2 linked regions of the Macaca mulatta genome follow. The protein of the gene in region 2 purifies or fractionates together with the protein of the main gene of each other region. This does not show direct contact. Links are inferred from orthologs where the notes say so. Each region holds a gene or a part of one and is shown on either strand. Other genes may lie near its edges.

The links.
Region 1: the proteins of PAG1 (region 2) and FYN purify together in Homo sapiens (co-immunoprecipitation; 3 studies listed by BioGRID and IntAct, with this or other methods). This does not show direct contact. The link is inferred for Macaca mulatta from reciprocal best matches to the Homo sapiens genes PAG1 and FYN.

Annotation. Positions count from the first base shown.
Region 1 is NC_133409.1:16,737,071-16,740,456, reverse strand, and holds the end of FYN (tyrosine-protein kinase Fyn), read left to right. Parts: intron 1-2,128; coding exon 2,129-2,337; 3' UTR 2,338-2,791; downstream 2,792-3,386. UniProt on the Homo sapiens protein: Non-receptor tyrosine-protein kinase that plays a role in many biological processes including regulation of cell growth and survival, cell adhesion, integrin-mediated signaling, cytoskeletal remodeling, cell motility, immune response and axon guidance.
Region 2 is NC_133413.1:91,636,929-91,641,220, forward strand, and holds the start of PAG1 (phosphoprotein associated with glycosphingolipid-enriched microdomains 1), read right to left. Parts: upstream 3,055-4,292; 5' UTR 2,582-3,054; intron 1-2,581. UniProt on the Homo sapiens protein: Negatively regulates TCR (T-cell antigen receptor)-mediated signaling in T-cells and FCER1 (high affinity immunoglobulin epsilon receptor)-mediated signaling in mast cells.

The sequences.
Region 1 (3,386 bases), on a different chromosome or scaffold from region 2:
GAAACAGCAAATAGTGTCGTAACCATTTCAGGTTTTGTGGCCAAATGAGGTCAGTTCAGATCAGTTCTGCAGTCAAGTGAGTTACAAAAACTTGATGGTGTTCAGAGCTTGTTGGATTGCGGAATTGTGGAGAAGGAAATGCTGGCCTCTGACCGCATTTGTCTAGAGCCCAAAGAGAAGCCTGCCTTTCATTCCCGAGCAGCTCCAGTTCCTCCTTTGCTTCCAGCTCCCCCGCCCCCATCCCCCGTTTTCAGCCATTGGAGGAGGATGTAGGCTAATTAGCCACAGTGCTGCCTCTCCCTCTGCCCAAGCAACTGAGGAAGTCACTGGAAAGGCATGCATGGCACAGAGGCAGGGACCCTGACTCCCTCACCAAACCTCTGTCTCTGAAATAAGGGGTCGCCCTGACACGTGAGTGAGGTTATTTTACGACAATTGCATTGAAGGCCTACTTCAGTACAGCAGAAATAATATATGAATTTTTATTATCTCAAGAAATGATCATGGCAGAGAGTAAGAAAGCATCCTGAAAAGGTCTGGAGGGACGTGCGACGGACGGGCTGTGGTTGACAGCCAGGAGGAGCCAGGATGCACTCAGCTCTGCAAGTAACAACACAACCACGAGGACTGGCAACAGACCCCAAAGTCTGAGTGTTCCCTGCCCAGGGGGACAGGCTGTGCTCTGGGCCAGCGCCTCTGGCTGTGCTGACAGGTTTCCAGCTAGCAGGTCACCACCTCCCCTGGAAGTAAAGGGAGCGAGCTCCATGCGTATGGTGTGTGCTCCTGCTGGCTGTAGCCCTGGGAAAGAGGGGAAGAAATCTTGGTTTCTATATGGCTTGACGTCGAGTTCTTGCTCCTGCAAATTAACCAGGTCAGAAATTGGGGAGGATTCCAGATGACAGCCTCACCAGCCAGGAAGCAACCAAAGGATAGCACAGCTTGACAGGGAGCTGCCAGAAGGTGATCTAATGAAAAAGGGAAGCAAAACTAGAGAACAGTGGTCGGCAGTAGTTGGGAAGAGGTCAGGACATTGGCCACCCCCTAAGCATGGTAGTTCCTGTAGTGTTAAGGCGGCCAGTGTGCAGGAGTCCGCACTCTCTAAGGAGTTAATGATCTGTCTTCTGTTAGTGCTATGCAGCCCAGTGTTTCAGCAGCTTCCCCAGAGTCAGGAAGACCTCAGATGATGGATGGCCTGGCTGAGGTCATCAGTAGAGATAGGCCCCGGACATGGTCTGTCTCCCCATCAGATTCACCAAACCTCAGGGCAGTGGGGTCACAGGGCCAGACAGTGCCCAGCCACGCTGGCATGATGGCAGATTTCCCACAGTGAGGAACTAGGAGTTTGCCCAAGCATGAGGAAAACAAATTTATGAAGTTCATAAATGGAGTTTATAAATGCTATAAACAAGGGGCAGCATGCTTTCATTCTGTGTGGATTTTTTTGTCTGCTTTATTCATATATTTTTGTCAGTTTAATTGAAGTATAATTTACACACAATAAAATTCAACAATTTTAAGAATGCAGTTTATTGAGTTTTGACAAACATAAACAGTCACACCACCCCATACATAATATAGAACAGGGGTTGGCAGATCTGGCCCCCAACCTGTGTGTGTTTTGTACATTTTTAAAGGGTTGTTAAAAAGAAGAAGACAGGGATCATATGTGACCCACAAAGCCAAAAATATTTACTGTCTGGCCTTTTACAGGAAAAGCTTGTTGACCCATTGACCCTGACACTGAACATTCCCATCCCACTTGGAGATCCTTCTGGCCCCTTTGCAGGGATTCCTCCCCTCCCCAGGCAGCCACTGATCTGCTTTCTGTAGATGTAGTTGTGCCTTTTCTAGAATTTCGCATAAATGAAATCATACAGTATGTTGCCTTTTGTGTCTGGCTTGCTTCACTTATATTGCTTTGGAGAGTCATTCTGGATTTTTGCATGTCTCGGTTCTGCACTCCTTTATTTCTGAGTAGCATGGCAAGGTTTGACTCCTGGGGGGAATGGGGGCACTTCACATGTTTTAGCCACCTGCAGATGCAAAGAAGAAGAAAGGGGATCTGCAAGTGTGGCGGTCAGGGCCTGGAGCCCCCGGGTGCCCACTCTCACTGCCCTTGTCTTTGCAGGCATGAACAACCGGGAGGTGCTGGAGCAGGTGGAGCGAGGCTACAGGATGCCCTGCCCGCAGGACTGCCCCATCTCTCTGCACGAGCTCATGATCCACTGCTGGAAGAAGGACCCTGAAGAACGCCCTACTTTTGAGTACTTGCAGAGCTTCCTGGAAGACTACTTTACCGCCACAGAGCCCCAGTACCAACCTGGTGAAAACCTGTAAGGCCCGGGTCTGCGGAGAGAGGCCTTGTCCCAGAGGCTGCCCCACCCCTCCCCATTAGCTTTCAATTCCGTAGCCGGCTGCTCCCCAGCAGCAGAACCGCCCAGGATCAGATTGCATGTGACTCTGAAGCTGACGAACTTCCATGGCCCTCATTAATGACACTTGTCCCCAAATCCGAACCTCCTCTGTGAAGCATTCGAGACAGAACCTTGTTATTTCTCAGACTTTGGAAAATGCATTGTATCGATGTTATGTAAAAGGCCAAACCTCTGTTCAGTGTAAATAGTTACTCCAGTGCCAACAATCCTAGTGCTTTCCTTTTTTAAAAATGCAAATCCTATGTGATTTTAACTCTGTCTTCACCTGATTCAACTAAAAAAAAAAAAAGTATTATTTTCCAAAAGTGGCCTCTTTGTCTAAAACAATAAAATTTTTTTTCATGTTTTAACAAAAACCAATCAGGACAGGTGTTTGTTTTTGTTTTCTTTTTTATAAATATGAATATATATATAATATATATGTCCCTGTACATATACAATGTGGGTGCTAATGTGGAGACTGTGGCCAGCCTGGGCCACCAAGCTATGGGACCCAGAGGGAGGATTTTACTGTAAGTCAGCATCAAAGCACTGGTGTTATTCTGAAAACACCAGTGGCCTCATTTTTGGCTTTTGCAAAGCATGAATTTTTTCATTTGGATTGCACTTTCCTGGTTCATGACTGTACCTGTAGATGGCTGTTACTTTGACTCTTTTCAGGAGCCGCCCCCCCAGGCTGAATTTACAAGTTCTGTTAGCAGTATTTGCTTCAACTTACTGCCGTTTGTTCTCAAAACTTAAAAATAAGCAAGCAAATGGCTACCGAGAGAACTGGAAGATGGATACCACACAAACTTCTTGTATAAAAATATGAGTGCTGAAATGTTTCAGACATTTTTAATTTAATAAACCTGTAACCACATTTAAATGATCTAAAACCCATAGCATTGTAGTCATGGCAACCTGCTAAACTTTCTCATGCAACTAAAATTTCTGGGGGAAATGAGGGTG
Region 2 (4,292 bases):
GATTGCTGCAGCTACACGTGCAGGCAGGAAACCAAACAGAGAACAACACCCTCCAGTGTAAACTCTAACATCACACCAATTTTTCTTTTTTGACTCTCTGAATGCATGAATAGAAAAATAATAAAGCAACAGAATCTACTTCAAATTGAAAGACCTGGCACTTCTACCACACACTAGGAGGTTTGGAAGCATGGGCAAGTTATTTAACAATAATTATGATCATTTCTGTTGTGGGTGCTGCACTTTGCATACATCCTTAAGCTTAGATTTCTTCATGTATAAATTGAGGATAATAATGCACCTACTTCATTTGCAAGTTGAAGCAGCAGGGTCAAAAAGAACATAGTTTCAACACAGACAGACATGGGTTAAAATGCCAGCTCCAATTTCTACTATTTGATCTCACTGAGCTTCCATTTTCTCATCTCTAAAGTAGAGATGAAGACACTTACCTCAAAGGACTGTGGTGAAGAACTGAGCAAGACATTGTTAAATACCAGTAGGTGTCTGTATCGCTAGACAGTGCACAATAAATGTTTATACCTTCTCTCTCCTATTACACACATGAACTGCTTCTGTTAACATTCATCAGCAGCAATGCAATGTCCATAGCAGCAATTCAATGTCCATAGTATCCCAAGATGCATTTCCTTTCATTACAATGAAAATTTTTCCGAGAACAAGCTTAATATGCCAGATACTGGCCCAACAGCTTTATGTCTATGAACTCATTTAATCCTCACTACTGTTCAGTGGGGTAGGTACTACTGCTGTCATCCCCATTGTACAGATGAAGTCACTGAGGCACAGACTTTGGGTAACTTGCCTAGATTCAAACAGATGGTACCACAGCTGGCAGCCCGGCTCCATAGCCTGTCCTGCTAACCAGGATGCAATAGTGCTTACTGGGTCAATCTGTTTGAGATGCCATGCTTGGATGTAATCTCTTCTAGAGATAAGCACTGGATGCTCCCACAAACTGCAATGTGTTGATGTGACTAACTTTTCAACTTCTGAAATAACATTTTCTGTATTTTCTTAGTATTCCTAAAAAAAACCCCTCTACATTTTAAATAAGGTGCCTATAACTAGTTTGTCTTGTTCTGTATGCTGAAATACCATAAATAAATGCACTTCTCTCTTCAAAGATTATGTAAATAAATCTTACATTAAAACATACCCCTGAGCTTTGGTTTAAACCATAATTTCAAGTCCAAATTAAACATATATGTATGTGTGTATATATTTAGCAGGGAAGTCTTAATATGATCTATTTTGTTAAACTAATGACATCTATACCCAATACTTCAAATATTCCTCTTATTTATAATATTCGCTGTGTAACAGTCACACAGCAATACTGCATGGTATTTCAAAGTACTATTCCTTTTACAAGTTTAATCAAATCAGGTATTAAGCATCAATGATGATAATCCATAGCTCTGCTTAAAAGGAATCTCTCAGGGACAGCTGAGAAAGAACGGTTAAAGATTTCTATCCTTCAAAGTAGGGCACTGCAGCTACCTATAAATCATGCTCTTTGTTTATTAAGATAATTAGGCCCATCAATACACTTAACTTTTAGACTCAACAATTGTCTGGCATGAACAATTTCCACTTTTTCTAAAACAAAGGGGATGTGTTCAAAAAGCGGTCCTCTGCATGCTCTCTGCACAATGCATGCTATTTTAAAACATGATTTATGGGTCTAATTCCTGGAGCTGCCTTGAAAAATATACTGGGTTGTTCCTCCCATGCTCCCTATTAGGAGAAGACACTCCAATTTGAAGAGTGCACTCTGTTTCAGACTTCAGGCCGCTATATCATGTCAGCATTTTCATTAAATACTGTTCAAGCTGGACTTTAAACAAATGGAATGGAGAGCCACAGCTGCAGCCACTGCAGAGACAAAAGTTATCCAGCCGGGAGGCTTACATAAGAGGTGCAGGACAATCAGGGTGAAACCCAAGTGTCATTATTTGAATGCTATTTCTTGAGATTTGCCTACATTCTTAAAGTGTATCAAATCACATGCTTGTTTAATTTGCCTTAGGGCATAAAACACCGGGTCGACATATAAGTTGTTTTTTCCCTAAAGGACTAGGCTCCAATTATGAAAAGGTTGGCAACTTCTGCCCAGGGGAAGAGTAAAGCGGGATGCGCGGGAAGCCTGCAGGCCTGAAAGGAATGGCTCGCCCAAAGATCCATCGTAGTGCTGGCCACACTCCCCAGAGGACTTAGGATGGAGGTGACAAGACCCTGCCCAGCCCCTTCACCCCAACGTACACACAGAGTCAAGGAGCTTGGAATGAATAATTAGCACGCAGCAGTCGAAATGCCCTAGGAGCACCTGTCCTCTCCCAGCATATTTCCAACTGGCACATTCATGAGATGCTGGGGTCAGCCAGCCCTGGACTCCAGACCTTCCAGCTGCCTGGTCCCCTTCTTGGCACCCTGAACTCCCTCCTCAAGCTGGAACTCTGCTAACAAGAGGTGCCACCCTCGGCTTCCCACGAGAAGATAAAAACGAACCTCTCCTTCCCACGGCTCCCTCCAACTTCAGAAACTACAGTCAACTTACTGGGACTCAGGAGGCAGGGAGTCTTCTTGGGGGACAGCGCTCGGAGGCAGCCTCTGCAAACTCGGGCGCGCAGCGCCGCCGCCCCGGCACAGCCCGGCGGCAGCGGCAAGTGCAGGACGAGGCGCCGCCGCTCTGCACCAGTCGCGTTGGCTCAGCTGTGCCGGGCGCCGGGCATTCGCCAGGGCAAACGACTAAGCAAGGCGGCGGCGGGGACTGAGGCTACTGCACCCGGCCGCGCGGACCCGAGCGCCGCAGCTGCCTCCAGCCCCGGAGCGCGGCGCTCGGAGCCCCTGGTGCGTCTCTCTGGCTCCAAGGGAATCCCGGCTCAACTAGAGACCCGGCAGGAGAAAAACCGATGCGGTGCCGCAGGCAGAGCCGCCAGCCCGCCCCCAGTCGGCTGGTCACTGGCGCGCAGACCGACCAGCGAGCAGTAGTGTACCGCAGCCCGCACTCGCCGCCGCGCCGCGGAGAATGACAGGCGCCGAGGCGGAGCAGCAGCGCCGGGAGCGGGGCGCGAGTGCGCATGATCCCGGCTGCTGCGGCACGTCACGGGGGAGGAGGGGCGGGCCGCGGGGCGGGAGGGGGCGAGCCGGGCGGGGCAGGGCTGGGGGTGCAAGCCGGTGAGGACTGGTGCGGCGCCCGGCTTGCTAGCGGGAAGATGCAGGAAGTCTCCCTCCCCGGGTTTTATGAACCCAAAGCTCTGTGGTTGAACTTGTCCCCGGAGCCCATTGTCCCTTAAACAGCACCATTTAAGCGGTCCTTAAGGTCCCGGGGGAGCCCACAAAAGCCAGTTTAACTCAGGTTACAGCTTAACCGTAAAGGGTTGCGATTTGGGGGACAATGATCTTCTATTGTGGCTGTGCATTAAAATAACTTGGGGAGCTTGTAAGAACCCTTTGCCCCGTACGCATCCCAGAGCAAGTACAGGACAATGTCTGGGTGGGGCCCAGGTATCAGTAGGTATCTAATGATACCAAGGTACAACAGTGCTTCTCAAACCCTCAATGTGACAGAATGTCCTACGGATTGTGTTGAGATGCAAGATTCAGATTCAGTAGGCCTGGGATAATGAGGGGGAGATCCTTTCTAACAAGCTCTCAGAGGATGCCAATACTGCGCGTCCAGACCCCCACCCTTGCTACTTAACGTGTGGTCTAGAGCCTGGAGCAGAGCTTCTGAAACAGTTGGTTTGTCTGACAGTCACCCGAGGGCTATAAAAAATGCAGAACAAATGCCCAGGTCTACCCCCAGTGATAGTGGTTCTGGCTCAGCCACTGGGCAAGGGTGGGTTTCTAGAATTCCATTTGGCATAAACACTCTAAATAAATCTGATGGGAGTTTTGTTTGGGCCAAACTTCAAGTTTACACTAGCAACCTGGAACTGGGAATAAACTTTTGCACTTACAAGGAGACAAGCCAAGTCTAGAACTCAGGACATCTGACTTTGAGTCAGGGATTCTAAACCAACGGGTGCTTTAAATCTGACTACTCCCAATTTTCTAAAATTATGATGCATTACTTAGCAAGAAAAAAACATAAATGGTATTAAATATACACATATACACTCTATTGAACACTCGTTACACATATCATTAAAGGGAGCTTAAAGTTGACTGGGAAGAAGGCTCTCATCAGGGGAAGGTAAGGAAGACAGTGATGGAGTAAGGGATATTAGTGTGTCACAGAGGGAAGTGTATGCAGGAGGAAACAA